Linked DNA regions of Canis lupus familiaris. The protein of the gene in region 4 interacts with the protein of the main gene of each other region in a pairwise test. Links are inferred from orthologs where the notes say so. Each region holds a gene or a part of one and is shown on either strand. Other genes may lie near its edges. The genes, in order: SERTAD3, COPS4, PARVG, USHBP1, DTNB, EXOC7 and CCDC146.

Region 1 (4,088 bases), on a different chromosome or scaffold from region 4:
CTCTCCGCCACTGCGTCTCCCTCACCCAGATTCCTTGCACGTAGTTCTCTCGCTTTTCCAAAGGTCCGGGATCCCAGCCCCAACCCCTCACCCTTTTTCCAGAGCACTCGAGCCCCGAATTCAACCCGCCCGGGGGACCCGAATTGTCCTAATCTTCAGATTTCCTGCCCCAGAAGTTCCTTCCTTGGCTCTCTCGCTTCTCCAAACACCCTGGGTCCCAGCTTCAAAGTCCCTCCACTTGAAGATACTGCCCCCAACAACTTCGCCTTCAGGCCAGGATCTCGAATTCAGTCTCCAGCCCCCAAACCCCACCAACCCGCTCAGTCACCCTCATCTGCACCCCCCGACCCACGCCCAGACCCCGCCCTCACAACTCTCGGGGGCGCGTCTCCACCTCCCATAACCCAAGGCGAATCTCAAGCCGGGTGGCCTTTCTCTCTCTCACCTTAGCCACCAGGTTCGCAATGACCAAGTCCCGGACCGACCGCAGCACCACCAGTGCTGAGTAGCAGCCTCGCTCACCTCCCCAGGGCCTCTCGGTCTGGCCTCCGGCCCACCCAGCCCCGCCCCGGACCCGAACCGCGAGCCGCGATTGGCTGGAGTCCTGCCCGCCGCGGGGCGAGGATTGGCTGGGCGGAGCCACCGGCCGGTCGCCAGGAGACGCCCGCCCCGCCCTCCCTTTTCCTTCCACCCGGGACCTTTTAAAGGATTCCGACTGGCCCGGGGGGGCGGGGCCTCGTCTCTAGGGCGGAGGGCGGCGAGGACGTCAGAGCCGCTTCCTTCACCGCAGTCACGCTCCTCGCTCCAAAATCGTCAGCCTTCTCCCAGCGGTCCCTTTAGAGCAGGTGAGGACCCCCGTCCGAGGGCGAGGCTGCTTGGCACACCCCTCCCCTCTCCTCCCCTCCCCTCCCCGCTGGCGGAGGCCGCGCCCCCGGGGCTCCGAGGGCGGACGCTGCGGGGCGGAGGATGACGCAGCTCAAGACCAGCCAATAGTTCGGCGCGGCCTACGTTGCCTGGGCGATCGCAGCCGGGTTCCCGTCTCCCTGCCCCCCCAACAGTTTGCCCCGCGGCCTCTTTCTTCAGCCTCAGGGACTTCGCCGCACGTCCTGCGGTCGTCTCTCCTGCCGCCTCCCCTCCCACCCCCGGCGCCCCATCCTTCCTCGCTCAGGAGGGATGGCACCTCGGCTGGGAACTCGTTCCTTGCTCGCCACTGCCCTGGGGACAAAGTCCCAGCTCCTCCCTTTTTCCACAAAGCCCTTCACGGACTGGCCTGATGCACACTCCTCCTCGCTCCTCGCCTCCTGCGATGCGGCCCCAGTGATTGAGTTTCCATTTTTCCAAAATGACTTCAAGGGCCCGCCACCACCGTAAACCCTGAGATTTTTGTCCATTTTCTTCCCTGCCTTATCCCCAGTGTTTTAGGTACCATAGCAAGTCCTCAAAAATGGCAATAAAGGGCCTCTGGATCTTTAAGCTTGCTTCCCACATCCTTCAATTCCCAGGCCGCCGCCTCTCCCCAGAACTCCTCTCAAAAGTTTCCTCCTCCCAGAAGCCCTCCTTTGATGCTCCAGAGTGGGTTAGGCCCTCCCATTCTGGGCTGCTCCCGTGTCCCGGGCTTCCCCCGTCCTGGCCCTGTCCCCTCTGCCCATGCCTTCCATTCCTGGACCTGGGCGCCCACCGTGGGGACTGTGGGCCCTGCAGGCACCAAGGTTGTATCTGGGTCGCCCAGCGCTTGGTCCATAGCACCACCTAGCACATGGCTGGACACAAAGAAGGCACATTAAATGCCTAATGTGACAGAAAGAGAAAGAGGGCAGGAAAAAAACAGCGCTAGTGCCCTGAAAGCCTGAACCAGTCAGTAATGCCCCACCCCCATGTTTCACCAAGAGGAGGGAGGAGGAGGCTGTTTTCTCCAGGCTACCCCTGTGACGGGAGTTAGGCTTCTCAGACCAGTTATTACCGGTTGGAATTTGTCAACCAGTCATCCTGCTGCTTGCAGAAGCAATATAGGATTGGAATGGAATTACTATTTTTTTTGAGGAGAAGGGAAAAGATGTTGGGTGGGTAGGTGGGGGAAGCTGGAAATAGGGAGAGAGGACTGGCTCACTCAGACCAGGGAAAGGTGTCTCTGGGGAACATGGGCAGGGGACAGTAGATTCCAAAAAAGGACAGGATGAAGAAGGGATCATTCTTTCCCCTCCCCCTCCCAAACCTGCCCCTCTTCCAGGGCTCCCCTTCTCACCATGGCCCCACTCTAACCCTGTCTCCAGGTTCCAGCTCTATGCTTCTTTCTGGGTGTCTCTCTCCTTTCCATCATGGACTGTCCAGTCTGCTCATGCCCACCCTCGGGCCCCACTCAAGGCCTCCGTCTTGGTACCCTGGGGCTCCAGCCCTTACTCTTGCACTCCTCTGATCCACATTCACATGGCAGCCAAGGGCAGCTTTATAAAACACAAACCTGGCTGTGCCCCCCACCCCACCTCTCTCCTGCTCCACTCCTTGCACAGAACCTCAGAATAAAGCTCAGGCTTTTTACAATGATTCTGCACAGGTTAGCTTCCATGTAACAGCCTCTTGGGGATGACCACTCCTCCCCTTGGAGCAAAGTATTATTAACTTGTTGGCTCCTCAAGCTGGGTCAGGTAGCTCCCTCACCCCTCTGGGCTTCCTCCTTCGGAGCTGTGGCCACTCTGGGTTGTCACTGTCATGGGCTGGGGTGTCTTCCTTGCAGGACCGTGAGATCTGTGAAGGTAAGGTTGCCCCCTGGGTCCTCACAGTCCTCCCTTGGTTTCTAGCACAGGGCCAGACGAGGAAATGAGTGAAAATCTTACACAGAGGCAGATAGAAACACTGAATCACCCAGACAAAACTGGACAGAGGAAAGAGTCACAGAGTTGGGGCTTCTAGAATAATTTGAAGCTCTTGACTCAAGATTTATTGCTTCTTTCCTCTGTTCTCCATTTGCCAGAATGCTGTCCTCCTGGACAGGGTCAGAGCCCCTAGTCGTACTGGTGGGAGGGGTAGGTGCAGTGCCCGTTGTACTTATCGGTGGTGAGGCAGCTCAGCATGAAGTGGCCCAGGTCATGTTTGGAGATGACCCTAGAGGGCCCGCGTCCATCCAGGGTTACTGTGTAGGCCCCAGTCAGCGGCTGGTCTCCTGAAAGTGTAAAGACACTGGGTGAAGCTGAGGTCCTAAGACACTGGGTGAAGCTGAGGCCCTTTCCCCTTCCCACAACACGTGGTCGCTCCAGGGTGCTTACAATGTGCCCAGCCCAGAGGGCATAAGAGTCCACAATGTGGGACACCTGAGTGGCTTAGGGGTTGAGCGTCTGCCTTTGGCTCAAGGTGTGATCCCGGGATCTGGGATCAAGTCCCCCATCGGGCTCCCTTGCGAGGAGCCTGCTTCTCCCTCTACCTGTGTCTGTGCCTCTCTCTCTGTCTCTCTCATGAATAAAATCAATCTTAAAAAAAAAAAAAAGTCCATGATGTATGAAACTCTTCCCATGTGCAGGACGCCAGTCTATACCCCTTATTTGATCCGTTTGACAAATCCTTATTGACAGCTGTTATGTGTCAGGGGCTGGGCACCCAGCAAGGAACCAAATGAACAAGAATCCCTGCCCTTTGCATGCAGACACTAGCTGGGAAAAGGCAACAAATAAAGAGAGTGAAATAGACAGTATGTTACAGGGAGAGAAATAAAGCAGGGAATAGGAACTATTATTAATTCAATTTTACAGATGGGCAAACTGAATCTGGAAGAGTCACTTCCCAGGGTTGCAAAGGATGACTTCCCAGTAGCAAAGGCTAGATTTTCTCTGGGTCCTTCGGTCTGGAGGCATAAGTTGGCCAGTAGGAGGGCATCTGTTGGCTTCATTATGATAATTAAAAATCTCTGACTGTGACCAACTTAGAATCGTTTGGAGCCTACTGGTACAGGTGTCCCTATTTTATTATTTTTAAAAAGATTTTATTTATTTATTTGACAGAGAGAGAGCACAAGCAAGGGGAGCAGCAGAGGGAGAGGGAGAAGCAGACTTCCTGCTGAGCAGGGAGCCCTAGGTGGGGCTCAGTCCCAGGACCCCAAG
Region 2 (3,977 bases), on a different chromosome or scaffold from region 4:
ACAAAAGTAGTTTATAAAATTTGCAAAAATGCATCTCACATGGCCGAAGTCTTATGTCAACATTAGATTGTTGTGCTAACTCACAGTTATGAGAAAGCATTTCTAATTGAAGTTTGGGTGAGAAAAGCATACAGGGCTGGTAGGTTAAAAATAAGCTTTTTAGAGTAGATAAACATGGGTTCAAATACAAGCTCTGTACCTTTCTAGCTATTCATTAATTCAACTATCACTTACTAAATGACTGCTCTGTTATAAATATTCTGCTAATTGCTAGAAACACACAGTATCAATATTTTAGAGACGTATTTACTCTGCCATCCCATTCCTTAACATGATTTCTTTGTTACTCAAATCCTAAAACTACTGATACATTTCAAGAGTGTTTTCCTCATAGAGAGGTAGCTGGCAGAACTGTTTTTTTATGAAAATAAATATTTGACATATTCTTATCCAGATAGGACCAGATATGTACCTGTAGGGAAGGCCAAGAAGGTATCAGTTATCAGGCACAATCATCTCATGTAATAGACCATTACAGTAATGGCCTCCAATGAATCATGCCCCCCATCTGTCCATACCCCTTTGTAAAGTAACTTGGCCACTCCTCTCATAAAAAGGCACACACCATTTTTTCCTCCCTTGAATCTGGGCTGGTCTTGTGACTTACTTTGACCTGTTTTAGAAAACTGATCTCATAAGATTTCCATGGCTAGCCTTAGAAGTGTAGCAACTTCTACTCTCACGCTTTTGGAACACTTCTATGGCTCTGTAAGGAGCTACTGAATGAGAGACCATGTGGAGAGACAGACTCAGCCAAGAGCCTGATGTATATATTGAGTCCATTTTAGCCCCACCAGCCCCAACGGAGCTCCCAGCGGAGTCTGCACCTGCATGAGTAAGCTCAGACTAGAACAGCACAACAGTCCAGTCAACCCAAAGAATCCTGAAAAATAATTATTTTACTCTACTAAGTTTTTGTTTTCTTACATAGTAATACATAACTAAAGTACCCTATAAGATTGCTTATTCAGAGCTGAGGAAGCAAATTCTTAGCTTAAGTTTCAGAATTCAAGAATACTTGAAAAACTGTATCTCTTCCAATAAATAATGTACTTCATTTTCTTCAACAAAACAAAACAAAAAGCAAAGGGGGGGAAGGAATATTAGTGGAGCATGGGGAAAAATAAATGCTCATTTTACTTTCATCCAAATCTGTAAAAATTACGTGCAGAAAGGATTAAACCATGAAGACACATTCACCTTATTTACCATCCAAAGAATAAGTCAATGTATGTATTTACTAACTGCTCTACAATAATAGTAACAAAGACAATTTTGTGGCACTAAGCGTCAGGTACTGCTCTAAGTGATATGTATGATATAAGTGTATATACACACACACATACTCATTTTGCTACACTTCTAAGTGTCCGTCCTCAGACAAGAATAAGTCCTATGATCCCCATTTTCATGAGAAGGAAACTGCAGTACATAGTAGCTAAATTCAAGATACACAACTAGATTTCCCACTGATAAAACTAGATTACATTTGCCATCAGAGAAAAGATAGCAGACCTCACATAAAACCCAGTAAAGGTTTCAATGGCCAGGTTAGAGCAGGTGTGTCCCATTTATACAGATCAACATGATCTCAGCGGTCAGGATGTAAATATTACCATCAACTTGAAACGCATACTTTAAACAAAATGCAAGTTCAATACAAAAGAACAGTACTGTATAATCTACAAAAAGAAAACGGACAGTATCTTCCTACCTACCTACGATTAACACTATTGAATAACTGCTTGCATGACAAGCACATGTCACAAATTTTAACGTGTAGTGGATCTAAGCCTTCGACGTAAATTCCTAAACAATTCAGATTCCTGCAAATATCACTAATCCTGACTCACACTGTGAGGACGTTCCGCTTATGTGCCCCTCTTCAGAGTTGGTAGCGGAGAGAACCCAAAACATTAAATATTCACTGAAGACGGTCTCGGTGGTTCTGAACAAGACAGCGGCCATACCTCCTCAGCCCCCGTCAGCCTTGAGAAGCCATCTCCCAGAAAACTCTGCATCGAGGTCCCATAATATAAATTTCCCTCAATTAAAAAAAAAAAAGAAAAAAAAAAAGGCTCCAAGGAGAGACCAGAATTCGGTGTGGGATACTGGCCAGCGATGAAAAGAGGCACCAAGGAAAGCTAAGAAGGCCATGGGAGCAGTCGTCCCTCACTCAGGCTATGCTTCCAGAGTGTTAAGAAACCGGTAAGGATGCTATCAAAGATAAAACAAGTGGACAGTCACCCCAGGTCTGTTGCCCCTGAAGGCTTCCCTGCGCAAGGTCCCCACCAGCTTTCTGCTGCCCCCAATTTTTGCGTCCACAAACGACCTCAGGCCCGCCCCCTTGGTGGTCAGGCCGGCTCACATCCCAAAGCCGCCGTCAGTCCAAGAACAAGGTCTACGGCTTCCCTCCCGACCTTCCAGGCCCCTGGGAAATACTCACTTGCCCGCCAGATCTTTATGAGAGCCGCTCGAATTCATGAGCTGGGCCAAATCCTGCCGCACGGCCGCCGCCATCTTTCTTCCAGCTCAGCAGAGGCTGCTGGGCCTCGCACAGACCAAAAGAAAACGACTGTAGTCCTCCAGAGTGCAGCTAGAGGGAACCCGAGATGCCATAGAGTAGCGACTGCGTGGGCCAGAGCGCCCGGCGTGCGAGCTTGTGCGGGGTCCGTCCGCAGAGTGGAGTGACGCGAAGCTCCACTCACGGCCGAGGCCCGCCCAGGAGTCTCCCCCAGGCTCAGGCTCGCGCGCTCCCACTTAGGATTGGCGGATGAAGTCCAAGGCGTGTGTAGCTGGTGCAACTCCAGTAAGTGCCCGGTACCCAGAATTACCGCGTCGTCATTAATTAAGTTCCGTGTCTCACTCAGGCGGTGTACTGTTCCTCGTTCTTTAAGACAGCCCTTAAACAATTTTTTTTTTTTTAATTTCCGATTCGCCACAGACTGGTACTCTTGTAAAATACAATAAAAATGTGCATATTTCTCCCTAACTTTGTGCCCTTCGTATAGGTTGATGGTGGCGCATCCCAGTTGGTCCAGGACGGTTCCGTCTGTTGTCCTGGAGTGATTACTAATAAGACGCCCTTTTACTCCAGAAACTACCATCTGGATGATAAAATTATATGGTCACCCACCTTTATATCTAATTGTGTTCGTTACTCATGTATGCTTATAGAATTTTTTTTTTTCTGCAAGTATATGTAGATTGTTAAACTTTCTTGCTTTCACATAAGACAACACGCCATATCATTATTCCCCTTGATTTTTTTTTTTTTCTTTTTTAGGGGGAGGCTCTTACCATGTATATCCGAAGAGCTTCCTCATCATTTTTTTTTTTTTAACTGGAGAGTATGGTCATAGTTTTATCTTTATAGCTAGACATTTAAGTTATTTTTAATCAATCAACCAGTGCTGCAATAAAGAATTACCTACCAACAACAGGTAGGAGTGCCATTCTCTGCAGACTTTTGAATTTTGCCCTCATGATATGGAATAAATAGCATATTCCCTCTATTGGGAAGGGGAAAGAAAAAAGACTAGAACCAGGAAATTCTTCAAGAAAATAATGTGGAGATTTGCCTACATCAATTCTGATACCAATCTGTTAGCAAGAATTTAGTCACATGACTAGGCCTAGCAACAATGAGGCTAGAAATTTCGTTTCCAATTGGACAGCCCTTTGTCTAAGAAAAGGATGGGTCTAAAGGGACAATCAGTAATCTCTTCTACAGTCTGTTCCTCTGATTACCTAAATAGCTGTGTGTATTCTTACAGTGGAACACTCCTACCGCTAAAGAACAGAGAGCGATTCCCTATTCAGTTTCTATACCAACTCAAAAAGCAGGGTATCTGATGATGCACAACCCTGTCCATCAGATTGGGATATGTCTTTTCATGACCCAGAGTTATATACAC
Region 3 (4,275 bases), on a different chromosome or scaffold from region 4:
GTCACTTCCTATCTTGCTTCTTTTCTGTAACAGGGAGATGCCAGCTTGGGGCAGCTGAGCTGTCCTCTCTGACCACCTCCGGGGAGGGAGCTTTCGGGGGCAGCAGCTACGAGCTCCCCAAGCTGGGAAAACAGACCTGCTGAACCGCCCCATCCTACACCCATTCTCTTCCATGCGTGTGAAGGAAGCAGATCAATAACCCCTACCCCCACCCCCGTGAGGTGTCAGATCTCTGGGGACAGCTGCCAGCACCGCGTGGTGGGCGTGGATCCTGAAAGCTGGAGCCGCCCTCCTTGGGTTCAGCATCCCAGCTCCACCACGGTAACTGAGTCACCTGCTACTCTGGTACGGCCCTCTCTGGGCCTCAGTTTCCTTGTGAGTGCAAAGGAGGTGTACGGTCTACACTCAGAGCAATAAATGAGCTGCTGCCTGTAAGACGTGCATAGCACAGAGTAGCGGCTAGGCTCGCCTCAATGTCACCATTAACTTCGAGACGTGCGGGCAGGAGGGAATACCTGACGAAGTTTCTGGAATCAGGGGCGGGGGGCTGTCAGGGATGAAGCAGAGGGCATAGGCAGGGGCCGAATGGAACTGGGTGTTCGGAGGACGACTTGGTAAAGCAGGGCCGTGCCCAGACCTGCCTGTCGGGTTCCTGCTGTGCAGACCCTCACCAGCACCCACCCCTGCTGCCCTGCCCTGCCTGCCCCCCGGCCCCCCCTGGACACGGCACCTTGTGGGAGTTCCTCCTCCGCCGGCGGCCCCGCCACCTTAGGACGCTGCAGCAGGTTGTAGAAGGACTCGGGCTCCATTTCTCCCGTGCCGGCCTGGGGTGCAGGGGACAGAAGGGATCACCGTCCGAGGAGCCCCGCACTCACCCTGTGAGTCATTTCTTCCAGACCATGAGGCTCAGGGACAGTGGGAGGGGGGTTGCCTAGGCAAGGGGACAGGTACCCCAGATGAGAGGTAGGCCTCAGGCCGATTCTTGTAGGATGTAGGGCTGGAGAGAGGCATCGGCTGAGGGCACGGCCTGAGCAAAGGCGCCTCCTCGGTCGGGTGTGGAGGAGCCAGGCCGCAGCTCTTCTGCGGCACCCAGGAAGTCCGGGCCCCACTCCCTGCAGTCAGGACAAAGGGGGGTGGCCCACTCTCCAGAGCTTGTCAAGGTCCAGGAAACCCTAGAACAGGGCTCCGGGGGTACCCAGGGGGGCCCACGTGGGAGTTGGTGGAGGTAAACACACTGATGAGTGACGTCTGTGGGGGTTGGACTAGGGGGGCCCTGGGGTCATCCTCTCCAGGTCTCCGAACCCGAGACAGGTGGGCACAGAGTGGCACCCCCAGTCTTTGAGTGAGCGGACAGAGCTGGCGTGCCAACATCACCCAGGCTCATCTCCTTGTGGGCCTGGCCTCAGAGGGTGGCCTGGCCCTGCCCGTCCTGGTTCTAAACGAGGCTCTCTACAATGCGCCTCATCATCCTCAGCCTCTCTGCGGTTTGGGGGGTCTCAGTGCTCATGCTGGCATGGGCGGGGCCGGCATCTGCAGAGTGTGCACAGCCCCCTTCGGGTGTTCATTATGGACAGGGAGCCGGGCTCACCCCCAGTGGTATGGGGCAGCCCTGGCCTCCTTCCTGTTCCCCTAGGCTCACTTCCTCTCCTGCTCAGCCGGAAGCTCTGCCCCCCTCTTCAGCCCCGGCATCTCCACCGGCGTTTCTGGTCCCAAACCACATTGGGGCTGGGGTGTCACACATCAGACTGGTGCTCGGCTCCAGTCCCCGGGGAGGCCTGACTACAGCAGCAGGGTCCAAAGCTGGGGCTAGCTGGTGGCGTTCCCTGGGGCTGCAGCCACCCCATCACCCCAGCAGCCAGCCCAGGGACACCAGGGCGCTGCTTGAGGCGCCATCCTACCCCCTGAACTCCCAAACCTCCTCCTGGACAGGATTCGGTTCAAAGGATGTGGCCAGAGAAAAGAGTGTGGCCTGGGGGTCAGGTGGCCCAGAGTCCAGCCTGGCTCCTCCTCATTCTAGTTGTGTGACTTGGGATAAATCCCCTCTGTTTCTGGTCCTAAAGATCTTTATACAAGGCAGGGCCCGACTCAGAGTCACCAAAGGCAGTGGAGTGGACACAGAGCTGGAAGAGCCGCAGGCCATCGGCCACTCCGGGCTGTCCCCGTCCTGCCCTGGGCCTCGGTTCCTCCATCTGAAGCCGGGTGGCCTCTCTCCCCCGCACGCTGGGGGAAGCTCAGGGGTGATGGCATGTGGAAAGGGAGGCTGCCCACCCGGCCACACTGGAAAGAGGATGGCGCCTGCCTGGCCCCAGGAGGGGAGGGGACAGAGGGGCTGCTTCTGAGCATGGGTGGCTGGAGGGGCACAGAGGCTCAGGGTGTCGCCTGCTGGACTCTCTCTCCTGTGGCCCCAGCTAAGGCTGTGTTCTCTGGGGTTGGTCCCACCAGGGCCCCGGGAGCCCTCCCTCCATGAGCTCTGGCTCCCCAGCATTACAGAGGCTCGCAAGAGCGGAGACGCCAGGAGGACTCACCTAGCTGCCTCCTCCACACCAGGAAATGAAGGCCACGTAGATCCTGATCACCGGCCTCCAAGTACGAGTTCCCAGCAGAGGGGGGCTGGAGGCCGGGGTGGGGGGGAAGGCAGGGGCCACGCACCCCACTCACTTCCTCCCAGCCTGTGGCTTCCGCAGGGCCTGCTCGGCTGCGTCTGCAGGGAGCTTCCTCCTCGCTGGGCCTCGGGGCCCGGTGCCTCCACGGCCCCACCGGAAAGCTCTGTCCCCAGAGCCCCAGCCACCCAGCCACACCTCCTGGCCCTCCGATGCCTCGATGCCTCGCAGGCAACTGGAACCTGCTCTTTCTTCCCTCTCTCGCTCTCCCTCCCCACCTCGCAACCCCAGCCCCAGCCAGTCCCTCCCAGGCCTGCCATCTCCCAGGGGCAGCCCCAGAGGACCTCACATCCTGGCCACCAGCGAACCTCGAGCCCTACCTCGGGCCATCCCTCCTCCCTCATGCCCCCGCCCAACCAGCCCCTCTTCCCCTCTCCCCTGGCCTGGACCACAGAGGAGCCTCCTTACTCGACCCCCGTAGCTGCTGCCCTCTACACCCCAGCCCTGCCCAGGAGGCTCATGTCCCAGACCATCAAAACCCACCACTGGCATCCCATTGCTCTTAAATAAAATCTACTCTGCCCATGGGACGCCTGGGTGGCTCAGCGGTTGAGCGTCTGCCTTCAGCTCAGGATGTGATCCCGGGGTCCTGGGATTGAGTCCCACACCGGGCTCCCCGCAGGGAGCCTGCTTCTCCCTCAGCCTGCTTCTGTCTCTGCCTCCCTCTCTGTGTCTCTCGTGAATAAATAAATAAAATCTTCAAAAACAATTACAACAAAAACTCCAAAATCTTTTCTGCCCAGCACAGCACGTGTCCTGATGCACCTGCTGGCTGGATCTCCATTCCTGCCCCCAAGCCTCTCAGCCATGTGTTGACCGCCTCTGCTTCCTGAAAGCACCACGTCTTCTGTTTCAGGGTCTTCACACTTACTCTTCCTAGAGGCTCCTGCTCCAGCTTTGAAAGTGGCTAAGTCCTCATCTGTATCATCAGCTTAAACGCCTCCTCCTTCAGGAAGCCTTCCCGAACAGCCTGATCTAAAAGAGGCCGTCGGTAGGGTTCCTCACCACAGGCCTGAAGGTCTCGTGTCCCCTAGAATGCTGCCCGACACCAAGCAGACTCCATGAATAAGCGCTGCTGGCTGCTGTTGCCTAGGGGATAAAGTTCTTCCAGAGGAGAAACGGGCCTTGACGGATGAGTAGGAGTTCGCCAGGTAAAGATGCATGAGAATGTTCCAGGTGGAGGGACCAGTGCATGCACAGGTGTTAAGGAGGTTAAGAAGGTGAGGCCTCAGGATGGCAGGAGAGGCAGAGATCAACTCAGACTGGAGCTTTGTCCTGAACTTGAATCCTGAGGAGCCAGGATGACATTGTGAGTGTTCACGGCAGCAGTGACGGGGCCGAGGGGCCAGCAAGCCGAGCACCCTTTCTCTGCTGACAGAACAGGCAGGAACGGGGTAGAGGGGTAGGAAGCAGGACCGAGGGTACCTGGGAGCATGAAACGCGTTCCCAGGAAGTTACAAAAATGACAAAAAGTGTGAGTGATGTTACCACCGCCGAGAGTTACTGAGTAACCGATGATGAAGCAGAGTTTTAAGGGCTTTGATTTTACGGGAGCCGGCCTCTGGGGCAAAGGAAGACACAGAGGGGCAGGATTCAGTCTCCGCCCTCCCAACGC
Region 4 (4,075 bases):
ACTTATATTTGGGATCTAAGATAAAACAAAACGAAAAATTGAACTCACAGTTATAGAGAACAGAGTGGTGGGTGCCAGAGGCAGTGGGGGTGAGGAGAGGAATGTGGGTGGGGGTGAGGAGAGGAATGTGGAGCGGGGATCATCTTTCCCAGCCAGGAAGTGGGCCCCACCCCTTAGGCTGGGCTCTGGTGGCCCCATATCTTGCCACCTTGGCCTGCCCAAGATGAGGGCCTGTTCCCCCATCTCCTTCAGCCACATGGCTTTAGATTCCATCCACATGTTAAAGAGGTCGGGATGTGTTTCTCTTGTCCTGACATCTCCCCTGAGCTCTGGATTCTGACCCCACAACTGTGTCTTTGATGGTCCTACATGGGTGGCTCAGGGGTTTCTTGAACTCATTAGGGTCCCAACAGCTCCTGGTCCTGCATTTCTGGCTCCCAGTCCCGCAGGCCCCCAAACCAGGACTTGTCCTCAACCCTTCTCTGGCTTTCACACCCAAACCTGCCAGCTCCACCTTCGACACCACCCAGAATCTGCCCACTTTGTGCCACCTCCACAGTTTCCACCATCTGGTGTCTGGACCAGTGCCTCGCGGATCCGCCGGCTGTTCCTCCCATGCCTACCAGAGGGCGCCTGTGACCGCGGCACCAGGTCCCGCCCCTTTCTGCCGCGGGAGGGCGAGGGTGGGGGGGCGAGGGGGAACCCCCCAGGAGCCCACCAGGCTCAGGGCCAAAGCCCAACTCCCAGAAGCCCACAGACCGTGTAAATCTGCCCCCATCACTAACCTGCCCTCCCCTCACCCCCACACTGGCTTGCTCACTGTTCCCTGACTCACACTCCCACCTCTGGAAGGGAGCTCCTTCTCCGCCTGGCATGCTCTTTCCCCAGATCCTTGCATGGCTCCTCCCTTACCTCCTGGCTCAAGTGTCACCTCCTCAAGGGGCATCTCTGACCACCTTATCTAAGAAGGCAAGGCACCTTTGTTCAGGGCTCTGCAGCAGTCAACGCTCCATAAAAGTTTTTCTCTTTCTTTTTTTAGATTTTATTTATTTATTCAGAGGAGACACAGAGAGAGAGGCAGGCTCCCTGTGGGGAACCTGATGTGGGACTCGATCTCAGGACCCTGGGATCATGACCTGAGTCAAAGGCTCAACTCAAGTCAACCACTGAGCCACCCAGGCGTCCCTCCGTAAGAGTTTTTCTAATGAACAAACAATGGAAGGTTGCCTATGCCAGGCCCGCCTCCCCCTTAGACAGAGAACCCTCAGAGGTAGAGCACAATACGTCGAGACCCTCACCTCTCTCTGCAGCATCTCCTTCTCCCCCTGGATGGCCTGCAGGGAGGCCTGCGTGCGAATCAGCTCCTCCTCTCGGCTGCCCAAGGCCAATCGTAGCCAGTCATTCCTCTCTGCCAGGCTGGCTGCCTCCCTCTGGCAACCACTTGCCCCCTCCTGCTCCAAGCAGGGCCTTGGTCCCACCTCACTTCTGTCCTCTGCCTCCCCGGGCCCAGGACAGCTGGGGGGCCGGCGGCGCCAGGCAGCCGCCGCCGCCTCCAGGGAGCTCAGAGCATGCTGGAGAACCTGAAACACGTCAGAGGCTTCAGGCCTGGGGGGGACAGTCTCCCCATCCTGTGGAGCTACATCTCTGGCCTGGTGGCCTTCCTCTGCAGGCTTGCGGGGTCCCTCGGGAGATGGGGCCAGTCCTCTGCTAGAGTCCCCCTCAGCCTCTTTGTTGGTCCTGTGGTGAAGTGAGAGACAGAAGGTTCTGGAAATGGGGTCATCTGGGGTGGCTGGCTCACAGAGGGTGCATTATCCGGGGCCTTGAAAGTTGGGCAAGGAGGGCAGTGGGAAGCTACGGCGTGTGTGTGAGCAAGGGAGGAACACAGGTAGATCTGTGGGGAGGAAAGACACACCAGGGCCGGAGTGGGAGCCCAGACGGAGGGGACCTTACCTGTTCCCAAGGCCCTGCCCACTGGCCTCTGCCTCTGGCCCCTGCAGCCTCGGCTCGCAGCTCTCCTGAGATGGCACAGGGCCCAGCTCAGAGCTCCCGCTGGCTGCCTCAGCCTCCTCTGAACTCTCCGCCACGGGATCCAGCTCCCCCTGAAAATGACCCACAGGGCCAAGCTCCGAGCCAGGCCGGGGGCGAGGGGGTGAGTGACCCCAAAGAGCTGGATGCGGCAGGGAAGGGGGCACTTACAGGTGGCGCGTGCCTCCCTCGCCGGCTTCGGGGTCGCGTGGCCCGGGCACTCATTGCTGTCCAGAATTCAGTCCTCTGATTCTTTTTCCGAAAGCCGCAGCCTGATCTCGGCTCTTGTCTTTGTTGGTCTGGGCGAATGACAGCCTTAATACCTTCTTCTATGAAATGAGCATCGATCTCCTCCCGCTGGGAGGGATCTTGAATTACCAGTGTTGAGCTGGCACATTTGAATACCCCTCCTGACAGGCAGCTCACTACCTCACAAGTTTGTTCCCACCTCCCCTTGTCTTTTGCCTCCTTTATCTTTCACTACCTCTGTGCTCCCCTCGGTCCCCAATCTGGACCTGGCTCGAGGACTTCAAGAATCACCTCTCCTCCCCAGGGTCCTCTTGAGTCGGAGGCCCCAATCTTGGGGTTGGGTCCCCTCAGCCTGCTCTAATGCTACTCCTCTGTACCTCTAGGAATACCTTGGTCAGCAGCCCAAATCCCTGGACACTCTTGGGGTAGCTCTGGCCACTGCTTGCTTAGGCCCCGGGCTGGCCAAGGCTGGCTTGGGAGAGGCCGGGAAACAGGAAGCCCCCTCCCCTGGTCATGTGACTTGTTATTGTGCTATTTCCTCCTCAAGGACATCAGCTTCCTCCAGTCCCGGTGGGACACACATGTCCAGCTCCTGACCTGTCGGTCCTTCCTTGCCCCAGCCTCCAATCTCATGTCTCTTCCGCCTCTGAGCCTCAGTTTCCTTATCTGTAAAATGGGGGGGGGGGGCTTTAATTATAGGATCTGTCTACAGTGTCATGGGAATTTTAACAAGCAACTTGCACATGACTGAGCACCATCCAAGAACTGAATTGTAACACACCACTCTTGTTCGCTGCCTCTCCGGCCCTCCCATCTCTGCTTCCTCTGCCAGCTGCTGCTTCTCCTGGATTCCTCAGGGCACAGATCGCCCCTACATCCTGCCCATTTTTCCTGCATCCATCTCTAAAGGGCCTCGTCATCTCCCTCCATAACAGCCCAACCCTCTCCCCTCTACCGGGATGCCAGCCCCTCTCTCTCCGTGGACTCTACAGCCACCCACCCCTTGACTCCCTTCCCCTCCCAGGCCCCAGAGACAGAGACCTCATTGTTCACCTCTTCTGCTCACACACCCTCCATGACTCCCCATTGCCCTTGGGAAACATTTCAAGCTCTTCTACCCGGCATTCGAGGCCCTTAAAAATAATGCCTGCTGTCTGCACCCATGTATACTCCATGCTTTAGCCATGATGACCCCTCTGTGAACAGGTGAAGGTTCACAATTCTCACATCCCAGGGCCTTTGGTTATGCTGTAACCCTTTCCTTGTTTCTGCACTTGGCTTATTTTTTATTTATTATTTTTTAAAGATTTTATTTATTCATGAGAGACACAGAGAGAGGCAGAGACATAGGCAGAGGGAGAAGCAGGCTCCCTGCCGGGAGCCCGAAGCAGGACTCAATCCCAGGATCCCTCGGGATCAGGACCTGAGCTGAAGGCAGCCGCTCAACCACTGAACCTCCCAGGTGCCCCTACACTTGGTTTAAACTGCGCAGAGCCTGGAGTAGCCTGAATCTTCCTCATTCCGCTGACAGACAGAGGAGGCTGAGTCTTCCTGCTTCTGCGTCCCCAAAACTGGTAAGGAAATAAGTTGCAATTCTCTGACTTGGGGGCACCCAGGCACATTGAAATCTACACTCTTAGCCTCTGCTCCAGCCATTTTTTTAAAAAAAGATTTTATTTATTTATTCATGAGAGACACAGAGGCAGAAACAAGGCGGAGGGAGAAGTAGGCTCCCCGCGGAGAGCCTGATGTGAAACTTGATCCCAGCATCCTGGGACCACCACCTGAGCTGAAGGCAGAT
Region 5 (4,234 bases), on a different chromosome or scaffold from region 4:
AGTCCCAGGATTGAGTCCCACGTTCGGCTCCCTGCATGGAGCCTGCTTCTTTCTCCTTCTGCCTCTCTCTCTCTCTCTCTCTCTGTCTCTCATGAATAAATAAATAAAATCTAAAAAAAAAAAAAAAGTCCTGTATACATCACACATTCTGCTGGTCAAGCAATTCTCTTGGGCCAGCCTGGATCAAAAGAAGGGACACAGAATCTGCAGACATCTTTAATGTACTGCAGCCTTAGTACATTAAGTAATTTGAACTTTTTGCATGGTGGCTTTGAAAACTATTATTTTTGTCTAATAGTTTTAAGAGGCTAGCTCTTAGAATCGATCACTCTGATGGTTTCCCCCAAGTACAAGGGGGCTCTCTCATTATGTAGGTTTACATTTTCTTATTTCAAGAAAATTTCATTATTTGTCCCATTATTTGGCATTCCAAACAGAGAGAGAAATAAGCACAAAGGTCTGCAGGCAAGGGAAAGGAGGAACATTCCAGGAGTTTGGATGGGATTTGTGTAGGAAGTGACAGAGAGGAAGTGGGGAGATAGACAAAGGATAGATGAATGGATGGTTTTGCGTGCCATGCTGAGCAGTGACATATGCAGGCAGCATATTCTGGGAAGTGTTTTCTGACATGCAGTATAGAATATGGAATGAAAGGAACGAGACCACAGGAGAGGGACAGGATCAAAGCTATTACGTTAGTCTAGGTGAGAGGCTTAGCCATGAGGGACAGATTCTAGAGTTCTTAATGAGGAGAATCAACATGATTGTTGAGTGTGGTGGGGACGGGAAGGGAGGAATCCAGGATGACTCTCAGGTTTCTGAACTGGGCAACTGAGTGGACAGTAATGCAGAACAGTTTTAGACACATAGGGCTTGGGGTGGCTGGAGGACATCTAGGGGAAGAGGTCCAGAAGGTGTTTGTCTGTGGAACTCAGATGAGTGGTCTGAGCCAGTAATGCATTTGAGAGTTGCTGGTATATGTGATGGATGAAGACAGGGAGGGGGTGGAATGGCTTCAGGAGATTGTGTAGGGTGAACCGAACACTGAGAACAGAACTTGGGAGACTCAGGAGTGGTCAGCAGGGTGAGGAGGTGAGTCATGTCATGAAGGCCAAGGGAGTTTCCAAAAGAGTGGAGTGCTTTGTGTTGCCAAGTGCCACCAAGAGCCCAGTGATATGAGGACTCAGATACAGCCTGTGACATTTGGGATTCAGCAAGCCCTTAACGATGGATTGGTGCAGGGATGTGGTGGGGACAGAAGTTACATTGTGTGGGTTGACGAGGGAGAAGCTGCTGAGTTGGCAGAGATGAGTGCAAACTACTTTCAAGACATTTGTGAAGGGAAATAGAGAAAGGGAGCAAGCAGTAACTAGAACACAATGCAGAGGGACCGAGGGGTTTCTTGTTCTGAGGACAGGAAAAGCCTGACTATGGCAGATGGTGATGGAAAAGGTAAGAGGGTTTGATAATTTTGAGAGCTTGAGGTGGGGCGGGGGGCACGATCGAAATATGTCTGAAAGGAGTTTTCTGAGGATGTGGGAGGTAATGAGGTATGTATGATGCTCATAGAAGTGAACTTAATTCCCAGAATGGCTTATTATAGTCCAGCTCTGGTACTGAAATTACCTTGGTTTCAATCAATACGGCAAATATAGCAAACAATATCGACATATTTATTTTACATCATTTACACATCTTTTCTCCAAAGGGTAGGATCAATGTTTTACCCTTTCAAAGCCTCCCACATAGTTGGTGCTCAGTAAGTGGTAAATGAATAAACAAGATGTCTCTTGCCTGTATTCTGAGTATCTCAGCATATTCAGAACACAGTCAAGACCCTGCACACAAGCGAAAAAGCTTGAAAAAGCTTGCATGCTTAGAAGCATCCAAGAGTCCTAAAATCCATGTGTCAAAGTTGATGTCCTTTCCTTGAGGAACCTGTTTACCCTCACTTATTTCCTTCACCCTGGGAGTTTAAAAATAGGAAAATGAGAGGAGGAGGAAGAGGATGTTCTAAAGGCAGTCAGGCAGGCAGACAGCAGCAGGAGGTGGCACGATCTGCCTTACCATAAGGTGCCAAAAAGCAGTGAAAACCCAGGCGCACAGCATCCTGGCTTGGGGGCTCTTTGCTTAGGGACTTAACATCCCGCACTCACAGTGCAATTATCCTTAAAGGACACTGCTGATTTGAGCCGTAAGCAACTGTGAGAAGAACGATCCTCTGAACTATCGAGAAAAAGCTTAGCTGTTCTTATTTCGAATCATCTCCTACATTTCACACACTTTGGAAAGCATTCTGTCAAAAATGAATAATATTAAAACAAAAAAGCTGATGTCGAGATGGTAAATCTGGGTCCGGCTCCGTTCCCTCGCCCAAGCTGTTTACCCAGCCTTGGACGCCCTTTTTTTTTTTTTTTTTTTTTCTCCTCGGACGTGTTTCTTTCTCTTCCTTCCAGTCGGGACACAATTGCCACCTATTCCAGGAACCCCCTCCACTTGGTCCAAGCGGAAGTAATCTCTTCCTCCTCTGCCCTGCCATAGCATCTCCTTGTGGGCTTGGCTTTGCCTGGGTCACCAGCCCCGCCTGTTTACACGGCTGCTTTCGTACGAAATTATGCGCACCTCGAACCAGGGGCCGTGACCGCGACGGCGTACCTGCGCAGCACCTGGCAGCGAGCTAAGCGCGGAGCCGGCGCTCACGAAACGCTCGCTGGGTTGAACTTCATTTGGGAAGATCCCTCAGGGCAAGACCTCTCGCCGGAGGCGCGGATGAATGATTCATGGGGTGGTTCTTTGCATTCTTCACCTTCGAGTCACGGCGCGCACAGTGTCCAGCTGCCCCGGCACATACCTGTGGAATCGAAACGCACCTCCGCCGCCAGCGCGCGGGACCAGCCGGAAGGGGGCGGGTTTCACCCCTCCGCGTCCGCCAGTCGCGGGCCCGCTGGGGGGAGGGGAGGGACGGGGGAGCCGGGTCCCGCTCGGCCGCAGGGGGCGGGGCTCGGAGGGAGCTCGGCCCGCTCGCCCGCCCCCTCCTCTGCGAGGCGGAAGCCCCGCCCCCGGCCGCGCGCTCGCACAGGCGGCGCGCGCCCGCCCCCCGCCCCCCGCCCCGCGCCCCGCGCCCCGCGTCTCCGCGCCCCCGCGTCTCCGCGCCCCCGCGCCCCCGCGCCCCCGCGCCCCCGCGTCTCCGCGCCCCCGCGCCCCGCGCCCCCGCGCCCTCGCGCCCTCGCGCCCTCGCGCCGGGGGCGGGCTTGCTGCGCGTGCCGGGCGGGGAGACGGCGCGAGCCGGGCGCCTGAGAACGTCCGCCGCGGGGGCGGCTCCGGGGCCTGAGCGGGCTCCGCCGCCACCTCGGCCGCCGGGCCCGGGCCGCAGGAGGCGCAGGAGGCTGCGGCCGCCCGAGACCTTCGCGGCGTCCCCAGCTCCGGCCGGGAAGTGAGTGCGGCGGCGGCTCGCGGCGGCCGCGGGCTGCGGGAGGGCGGCGGGGTGGGCTGGAGCCTCGCGCCCGCGAGGAGCGGGAAGGAGCCTCCGGGCGGCGGGGGACGGACGGGGCTCGGGGAGCCGGGGCCGCTGCACCGCGAGCGCAGAGTCCGGGGCCGGCGCGGCTGGGCTCGGAGCCCCGGGCCGGGGAGGGGTCCCCGGGGTCCCGAGCGCACCGTGGCCGCGGGGCGCGGGGCCGGGCTGCGGGCGCCGGGCTGATGCTGCTGCTGGAGGAGGAGGCTGAGTTAGGTGCTGTGAGGGGCGAAGGAGGCAGGTCCTGGCAGAGGGCAGGTGAGGCAGTTAGGCCCTGGCAGAGGGAAGGGACTGTATCTCAGCTCGCCCCCAAGCACTGCTTGCGGAGGCGCCTAACCGTGCTGAACCCGTGCACCGAGGTCACCCTCGAAAAGAAGGTGTCCTGAGAGCAGGCGGGGTGGAGGTAACAGATGCTTGCCGTTGAATTCCTGTGCCAGGCCTTGGGATTAGGAAGACCTTCCAGCGCTCCTGGCCAACGTTTATCGATTAGCTACCTGGGGTAGAGAACCGCGGTCAGCAGCTGGGGCCACGAAATAGTGTAAAACACAGCCGTGATCTGCCGTGTAGGTAGGTGCTGACGATTTGGGAGCGAAGGTGTGTGCATGTGAAATACAAAGTAGCATTGAATTTCGTCTCACACTTTATTCACTTTAGGTCTTTTTTTGGGTCTTTTCCCAGTGTTGGGAAATTGGAGCTATAAATTGCTTGGTTTGGAGATAAAGC
Region 6 (3,500 bases), on a different chromosome or scaffold from region 4:
AAGGAGACTGGGACCCACTAGTGGAGGCTGGGGCAGGGGGCACCCGCAGGCAACCTGGTCCCATAAGCAAAGAAACGGGCTCCGAGTCAGAGCTTTAGAGCTGTTGGTGGAGTCAGATGTCAGGGCTCCCTGCCCGCCAGGGAGCCGCCGTCCAAGTAGCGGCGACTTCTCCCCTTGGCCCAGGCCCTGAGAGCCAGGCATACACTCCCATCTGGAGAGAGACAAGGAGACCTAGTGCCCAAAAGAGAGACTTGAGAGAGAGAGAGGCAAACAGGCCTGGCTCATCCTCAGAGCGGAGCCCTCCGGGGACTGTTGCCAAGGCAGCGGCGGCTGCCCTCGGGCTGGGCTGCGGTACTCACCAGCCAGCGGCCCGTGCTTGTCGTTCAGGGCCTCGGACAGGTGCTTAACTCGGAAATCATGCTCGTGACCTAGCAAGACGTCGGCCGCACAGACACAAGCAGCGTTTATCCAGGGGCCGGGTGGGCTGCCCCTCGGGGCCGGGGAAGAAGCCCTCAACCTCCAGGAGGGGATGTGAGATGGGGGTGTGAGAAGGGCCCCGGGAGGGGGCTCTGAGGCCCTCCTCTGCCTCGGACCACCTTGGGAACAGCCATTTCAAGCCTGACTCGCAGTGTCCCAGACCGTCCTTGGGAGCTGGTTCTCCAAGCCCAAGGCCAAGAGAAAGCCTGCGGGACGACCAAGGAGGGTTCTGGAGAGCTTCTGGCAGCTCCAGAGGATCTGATGCTCAGCCCCAGGGGGTTTACCCACCTCACCATATTTGGGGAGAGACCCAGTTAGAGTAATGTCACTGCTGAGTGAAACGGGACAGCCTCCTTTTGTTCCAAGGATTATTCTTTGGAAGGAGGGTCAGGTCCACCAGGGCAGGGCTGTCCCTCCTCTGATAGGAGGCAAGGAGGGACCCGGCCTACAGGCTGCCCATCCCCTTTGCGGCACACCCTCCCCTCTCTAAAGCCAGGGGAGGTGGGGGTGGCCCGGAGGCCTAGGCCGGCTTGATCCTGCCACTGCTGGTCTGAGCGTGAAAGGGCTGCCCATGACAAAGAACTTTCTCTGAGTTCAAATAGAAGACAAGGACAGAGACGGGGAGGGAGGGAGTAGGAAGCCTCAGGGAGGGCAGAGCTGCCGTCAGCCCGCCAGGACCAGGCCGAGGCCACGACACCTACCCCTGTGGCCATCTGGAACGAGCAGCACCAGGGACCTGCTGTTCCCACCCCTGCTCCCCTCTCAGGGACTCTCCCATGGCCCTCCTGGGGGCTTGGAGGCTCTGCCCTGCCACGAGAGTGGACACATGGTGGAGGAGGAGGGAACAGGAGAAGAACACAGGGTGATTACCTTCCAGAGGAATGAGGTTAGAGCCCCCCTTTTTCCCATCTAGACCATGCTGGGAATACTGTTTCAGAAGGTTCTGAGCCTTACGGATCGTCCCTGTCACCAGAGCCACACAGAGAGGAGACAAGAAGACCTAGGAAATGAGTGAGAGAAAACAGCAGCAGGCCTCCACCTGCCCCCCCGAGCCCCGGCCCCGGCCCCCCAACAGTGAGCATGCCCACACGCCATCTCTCCAGCAGGCCCCTTCCAGGACCCCCGGAGGCACTGCAGATGGACAGGAGGGAACGGGCCCAGGTCATGCCCCACATGGGGCTCCTGATTCTGCTACTGACCCTCGTTGCTCTGGATTTGAGTTCTCTTTAGGAAGTGCAGCAGGTGAAGGAGATGAGATGGGCAAAGATCCATCGGGAGAAGCCAAAAATAAAGACACCACTGAGTGGCAGTTAAGGCAGAACAGACCAGGGCTCAGGACGGAGGTGCTGGTGACGAAGCTCTCCCACCCGGAGAGCACAGCCAGGTTGGCGGAGTCTGGGGACCCCCTGGCCCGGCCCCGAAATGCCAGGCAGGGTTCCCCGGGCATGCTCAGTGTTGGGACGTGGACAAATGGAAGAGGTCGACAGAACGCAGAACCCGGGAGTTGGTGAAACGTGACTGAGCTTCTTGGGAGAGCGGTGCCTGAGACAGAAGGCCTGGAGACCCTGAGGCAGCCTGGCCCCTCGCACCAAAGCGACCCGAACCCCCAAAGCAATCGGGAACAAACTCAAAAGCTCGGTTGGGGTTAACGGAAGCCACCACACAGAGCCGGAGGAGGCAGGATAGTAGAGAGGGGGGCATGCTCCCGGCATGGGGGAAAAAAACAACAGTTAGTATCACGAGTGAAATCAACACAAACAAAACCACAGCGCCTACAGCCCCGGGGGTCAGCCACCTCGGTGGGAATGAGACCTCGCAGGGCAGAAAATGGGGGATATAAAATAGTATTTAAAATAGCCGAGGACAGCTGCCTTGTTGATAAAATGTACTAGGAACGGGGAGGAGGCCCCACGTGTAACCCTGGTTCGTCTCCCCTGGAGACTCCTTGTGTCCCCGCAGCTGTCTCTGAACACAGTGAGGCTGTGCGGGTCCTGGCAGCACCCCAAAAAGCGGGGCGAGGAGGGGCAAGATCTGTGACAGCTCCTTGTTCTGTTTGGACCACGTGACAATTAGCCACTAATGACCAAGTTCAGGGCCCAGGCTCAGCATCTGTCTCCTGTGTTCTCCCCATTCAGCCAGCGGTCCTGCTAATGAGCAAATCGGATTCCTGCCCCACAGCCCCAGCACACGGGCCTGGGGGAGGCTGGCTGGTGTGGACATGGGTGACAAATGCTGATGGGGTGGCCGCCAAACCCATCAGGTGCCCAGTGACCACAGATGCTGACATTGGGATTAGATTACTGGTCCACTGAGGCCTCGCTGCTCCCCACCTCCGAACCAGGAGCGGATGTGCCAGGGGCCTGGCTCCCTGGTTCTCTAACATCAGCCCTGATGCGCTGGCTGCTGACAGCTCTTGAGACTCTGCAGAGACCAGGGATCCTCACAGCCTGAGTCTTCCTCTAGAACCCACAAGCCAAGGACAGATGAGACCCCCTGTGAGCCCCGCCATGGCCAGCCAACACTCTGGGGGCAGTGCAGACCAGTCGGGGGCCCCCTGTGGGCCTGTCAGAGAAGAGATGGGGAAGAGGGCACAGGCCAGCTGAAGCGGGCTGCCTCACAGCCTCATGGAGGAAGACTGCCCCGCCCAAAGCACAGAGACATAGGAATAGACCTACTGTGTGCCGGCAGCTGCGGCCCAGCAGGCTGGCTCAGCACAGTCACTATTGGGAGCAGGTTTTCTAGGTGACAGCCAGGATACCCACGCTGGAGGGAAGAAGGCGGTGTGTCTCTGCTGGGGCCCCCAAGGGCAGCCTCTATGCTACCATTTCTCCAAACCCCAACTAAAGGCCTGAGTGGGAGCAGGTGCTTGCTGAGGGGCATAGGGAAGAGACACTTAAACACAACCTGCTATCACGAGGGACAGGTCCCACAGGCTACAGTGGGCAGTGTACACAGTGTACACAGCTCAGCAGTGTCAGCTATGGTGGCAGCAGCCCTTCACTTGTGATATCCTAGCCTCTCCT
Region 7 (2,351 bases), on a different chromosome or scaffold from region 4:
GGCCAAGGCATACATTTCTTCATCTCGGAGTATCTTCAACCATTCTGTCTCGATGTCTTTATTGAGTGGCAGGCCCTTTTCTATCCTGGAATTGCAAGAGAAAATGAAGTCTTCTTTCTCCCTGACTTCCTTTTGGAGTTCAATGGCCAGAGCTTGCTTCATGGACAGCTCAGCAACAAGAGCCATCATCTGTTCCGTAGCATCTTTGATCTTCTTCCGGTAGCCATTCATCTAGAATGAAAGAGCCCAAAGCTTAGACTATATATATTCCATGAAGAGTCAAGAAAATGGCAGGCTGAGAGCTGTCTAGAACGGTGAGGTGTGTGTGTGGGGGGGGGGCGGCGGCGGGCATTCTTGCCTGAAGGAGGGAGAGCCTAAGTGGGAATTCAGAGAAAATAAGAACTAGGAGAGATCTCAGAGATTGAGCCCAATTCCCTGGCTGTGTAAGTAAGGAGAAAAACACATCTGTTCATTGAACTATGGAGTTCCAAGTGGATAGGTAACATTGAGGGGAATAGTCCCTTTATTTTTAAGAGGTGAGAAGAAGAAAAGGACAGGATATTTTTGATGTCTAAGTTCTGGCCTAAGATTGCCATGTTTTTAATTTGTCACTTATCCAGCGGAAAAAAATCTGGTAGAACAAAAACTATACTTAAAAAATACTCATCATCATTGGGCAGCCCAGGTGGCTCAGTGGTTTAGCACCACCTTCGGCCCAGGGCCTGGTCCTGGAGACCCGGGATTGAGTCCCACATAGGGCTCCCTGTGTGGAGCCTGCTTCTCCCTCTGCCTGTGTCTCTGCCTCTCTCTCTGTGTCTCATGAATAAATAAATAAAATCTTAAAAAAAAAAAAAACTCATCACCTATGCAGAGGTCCCGCATCTGAAGTGATTTTTAATGGAAAATATCGTACCTCATTGTGGTTGCACTATTGATCATAATTCCTGGGATGTATCTTTATTAGGTCATGAGCAAGCATGAACTGAACCGGGGAAAATCTGGTCAGTCATTTGAAATGAAATGTTCCTTGTTCTACACGTATGTTTACCATTTCACATCAGGTGGTTATCATCAAAGACTTAAAAGATCAGGCTAAGTAGAACATAGCACGATTAAAACAATATTTGTTGAATGAAGGAATTAACGAATTCTATCTTAATCCTCCAGCCTTTTGAGCCAGGGTACACTGAGAAGCCATTTGCTTCTAGGAAAGATGAGAGCCTGGAGATCTGCATTCTTGTTGAGTCCCCACAAGGGGCTAGGCCACTTCTTACCTAGTGAATGCTTAAAACAACTTAAGCTAATGTCACATCCCTGTCACAGATTAGAAGACTTGGTCATTAAAATCCTCTCTGTGTCCTTCTCAAGGTCACTCGCTAGTATTGCTATGTCCCTGACCTGGGATCTGAACCATTCTACCCCTAGTTCTGCCTACTGTGAAGAGGTCATAATGTTGAATGAAAAAACAAAAACAAAACAGGGAGAGAACACCAAAGGTGGGGAAAGGCAGGGGAGATCAACCACTAGGCTAGGACTCCTCTGACGGAAGCCTCCCAGGTAGCAGTCACCACCATTCACATTTCTCTAGCCTTTCGGTTGACTTCCAGACTCTGTTGACCAGCCAGCCCTGGGTGAAAACGAAGGACTTCCCCTAAAGAGAGGGAAGTTCATTTTGCAAAAGGAAGGAAGGCAACATTTAGAGAAACAACATTTAGAGAAAATTAGAGAAATGCTGATTCAGGCAAGTTCATGAGACTAAAGAAGTCTTAACATCTCCTATTTCTGGAGTAAAGTTGTGACCTGTGCAGGAGCCGTGGGACTGGGGGCTCAGTGTGCTAGTGGAAGTCCTCAGAGCAGCCGGGTAAAAGCCAAGGGAAAACGGCAAAGGAGCCTTGAGATTTATAATGATTTTGTTTCTTTAGTGCACCCAAGTGTTTCTGGAATGGGACTGACTGTTCATTCATTCAACAGATTGTTTTTTTTCTTGAGCTTAGTGCACACCAGCTTTAGGGAAATTAAAATCCCCATGCCGTCACGGCGGGATGCTCCAAGGGGCCAGGAGGCCCAGCGAGCAGGGGACCCGGACGGCCCTGTGCGGAGGCCCTGCCTCCCCTGCCTCCCCTGCCTCCCCGAGCTCCCTCCTGCTGACTGCCCCGCTCTAGCACCAGCCTGACGGGTCGCTCTAAAGTAGCAGGCCTCAGATTTTAAACGTCTGAAATTGGGAAGCTCCACATTCAAGGTGTCGCCTTGCTAGTGGGGCCCCGGCAGTGGCTGCCCCCCAAGACTATTAGGCATGGGTGTCGTGTGATTGCTGTTCTCTTGTCATGGTCCCTGGCCGTTTCTGAGTTCTG

The links.
Region 1: the proteins of USHBP1 (region 4) and SERTAD3 interact in binary tests that used the Homo sapiens proteins (3 or more experiments, as listed by UniProt). The two-hybrid records come from large-scale screens. The link is inferred for Canis lupus familiaris from reciprocal best matches to the Homo sapiens genes USHBP1 and SERTAD3.
Region 2: the proteins of USHBP1 (region 4) and COPS4 interact in binary tests that used the Homo sapiens proteins (3 or more experiments, as listed by UniProt). The two-hybrid records come from large-scale screens. The link is inferred for Canis lupus familiaris from reciprocal best matches to the Homo sapiens genes USHBP1 and COPS4.
Region 3: the proteins of USHBP1 (region 4) and PARVG interact in binary tests that used the Homo sapiens proteins (3 or more experiments, as listed by UniProt). The two-hybrid records come from large-scale screens. The link is inferred for Canis lupus familiaris from reciprocal best matches to the Homo sapiens genes USHBP1 and PARVG.
Region 5: the proteins of USHBP1 (region 4) and DTNB interact in binary tests that used the Homo sapiens proteins (3 or more experiments, as listed by UniProt). The two-hybrid records come from large-scale screens. The link is inferred for Canis lupus familiaris from reciprocal best matches to the Homo sapiens genes USHBP1 and DTNB.
Region 6: the proteins of USHBP1 (region 4) and EXOC7 interact in binary tests that used the Homo sapiens proteins (3 or more experiments, as listed by UniProt). The two-hybrid records come from large-scale screens. The link is inferred for Canis lupus familiaris from reciprocal best matches to the Homo sapiens genes USHBP1 and EXOC7.
Region 7: the proteins of USHBP1 (region 4) and CCDC146 interact in binary tests that used the Homo sapiens proteins (3 or more experiments, as listed by UniProt). The two-hybrid records come from large-scale screens. The link is inferred for Canis lupus familiaris from reciprocal best matches to the Homo sapiens genes USHBP1 and CCDC146.

Annotation. Positions count from the first base shown.
Region 1 is NC_049222.1:114,041,090-114,045,177, reverse strand, and holds the start of SERTAD3 (SERTA domain-containing protein 3), read right to left. Parts: upstream 2,801-4,088; 5' UTR 2,656-2,800; intron 1,474-2,655; exon of another isoform or gene 1,084-1,473; intron 855-1,083; exon of another isoform or gene 649-854; intron 601-648; exon of another isoform or gene 446-600; intron 1-445. Other genes in the region: BLVRB (flavin reductase (NADPH)), read right to left, coding at 3,000-3,157.
Region 2 is NC_049253.1:33,045,303-33,049,279, forward strand, and holds the start of COPS4 (COP9 signalosome complex subunit 4), read right to left. Parts: upstream 2,801-3,977; 5' UTR 2,581-2,800; coding exon 2,507-2,580; intron 1-2,506. UniProt on the Homo sapiens protein: Component of the COP9 signalosome complex (CSN), a complex involved in various cellular and developmental processes.
Region 3 is NC_049231.1:22,506,691-22,510,965, forward strand, and holds the start of PARVG (gamma-parvin), read right to left. Parts: upstream 2,801-4,275; 5' UTR 2,526-2,800; intron 1,113-2,525; 5' UTR 1,012-1,112; coding exon 952-1,011; intron 825-951; coding exon 731-824; intron 1-730. UniProt on the Homo sapiens protein: Plays a role with ILK in promoting the cell adhesion and spreading of leukocytes.
Region 4 is NC_049241.1:45,884,277-45,888,351, reverse strand, and holds the start of USHBP1 (Usher syndrome type-1C protein-binding protein 1), read right to left. Parts: upstream 2,801-4,075; 5' UTR 2,664-2,800; intron 2,383-2,663; exon of another isoform or gene 2,325-2,382; 5' UTR 2,251-2,324; coding exon 2,197-2,250; intron 2,100-2,196; coding exon 1,951-2,099; intron 1,738-1,950; coding exon 1,299-1,737; intron 1-1,298.
Region 5 is NC_049238.1:19,927,672-19,931,905, reverse strand, and holds the start of DTNB (dystrobrevin beta), read left to right. Parts: upstream 1-1,434; 5' UTR 1,435-1,452; intron 1,453-2,655; exon of another isoform or gene 2,656-2,985; intron 2,986-3,316; exon of another isoform or gene 3,317-3,433; intron 3,434-3,998; exon of another isoform or gene 3,999-4,078; intron 4,079-4,234.
Region 6 is NC_049230.1:5,424,782-5,428,281, reverse strand, and holds part of EXOC7 (exocyst complex component 7), read right to left. Parts: intron 1,441-3,500; coding exon 1,348-1,440; intron 429-1,347; coding exon 360-428; intron 1-359. UniProt on the Homo sapiens protein: Component of the exocyst complex involved in the docking of exocytic vesicles with fusion sites on the plasma membrane.
Region 7 is NC_049239.1:17,680,170-17,682,520, reverse strand, and holds part of CCDC146 (coiled-coil domain-containing protein 146), read right to left. Parts: intron 232-2,351; coding exon 1-231. UniProt on the Homo sapiens protein: Essential for sperm flagellum biogenesis and male fertility.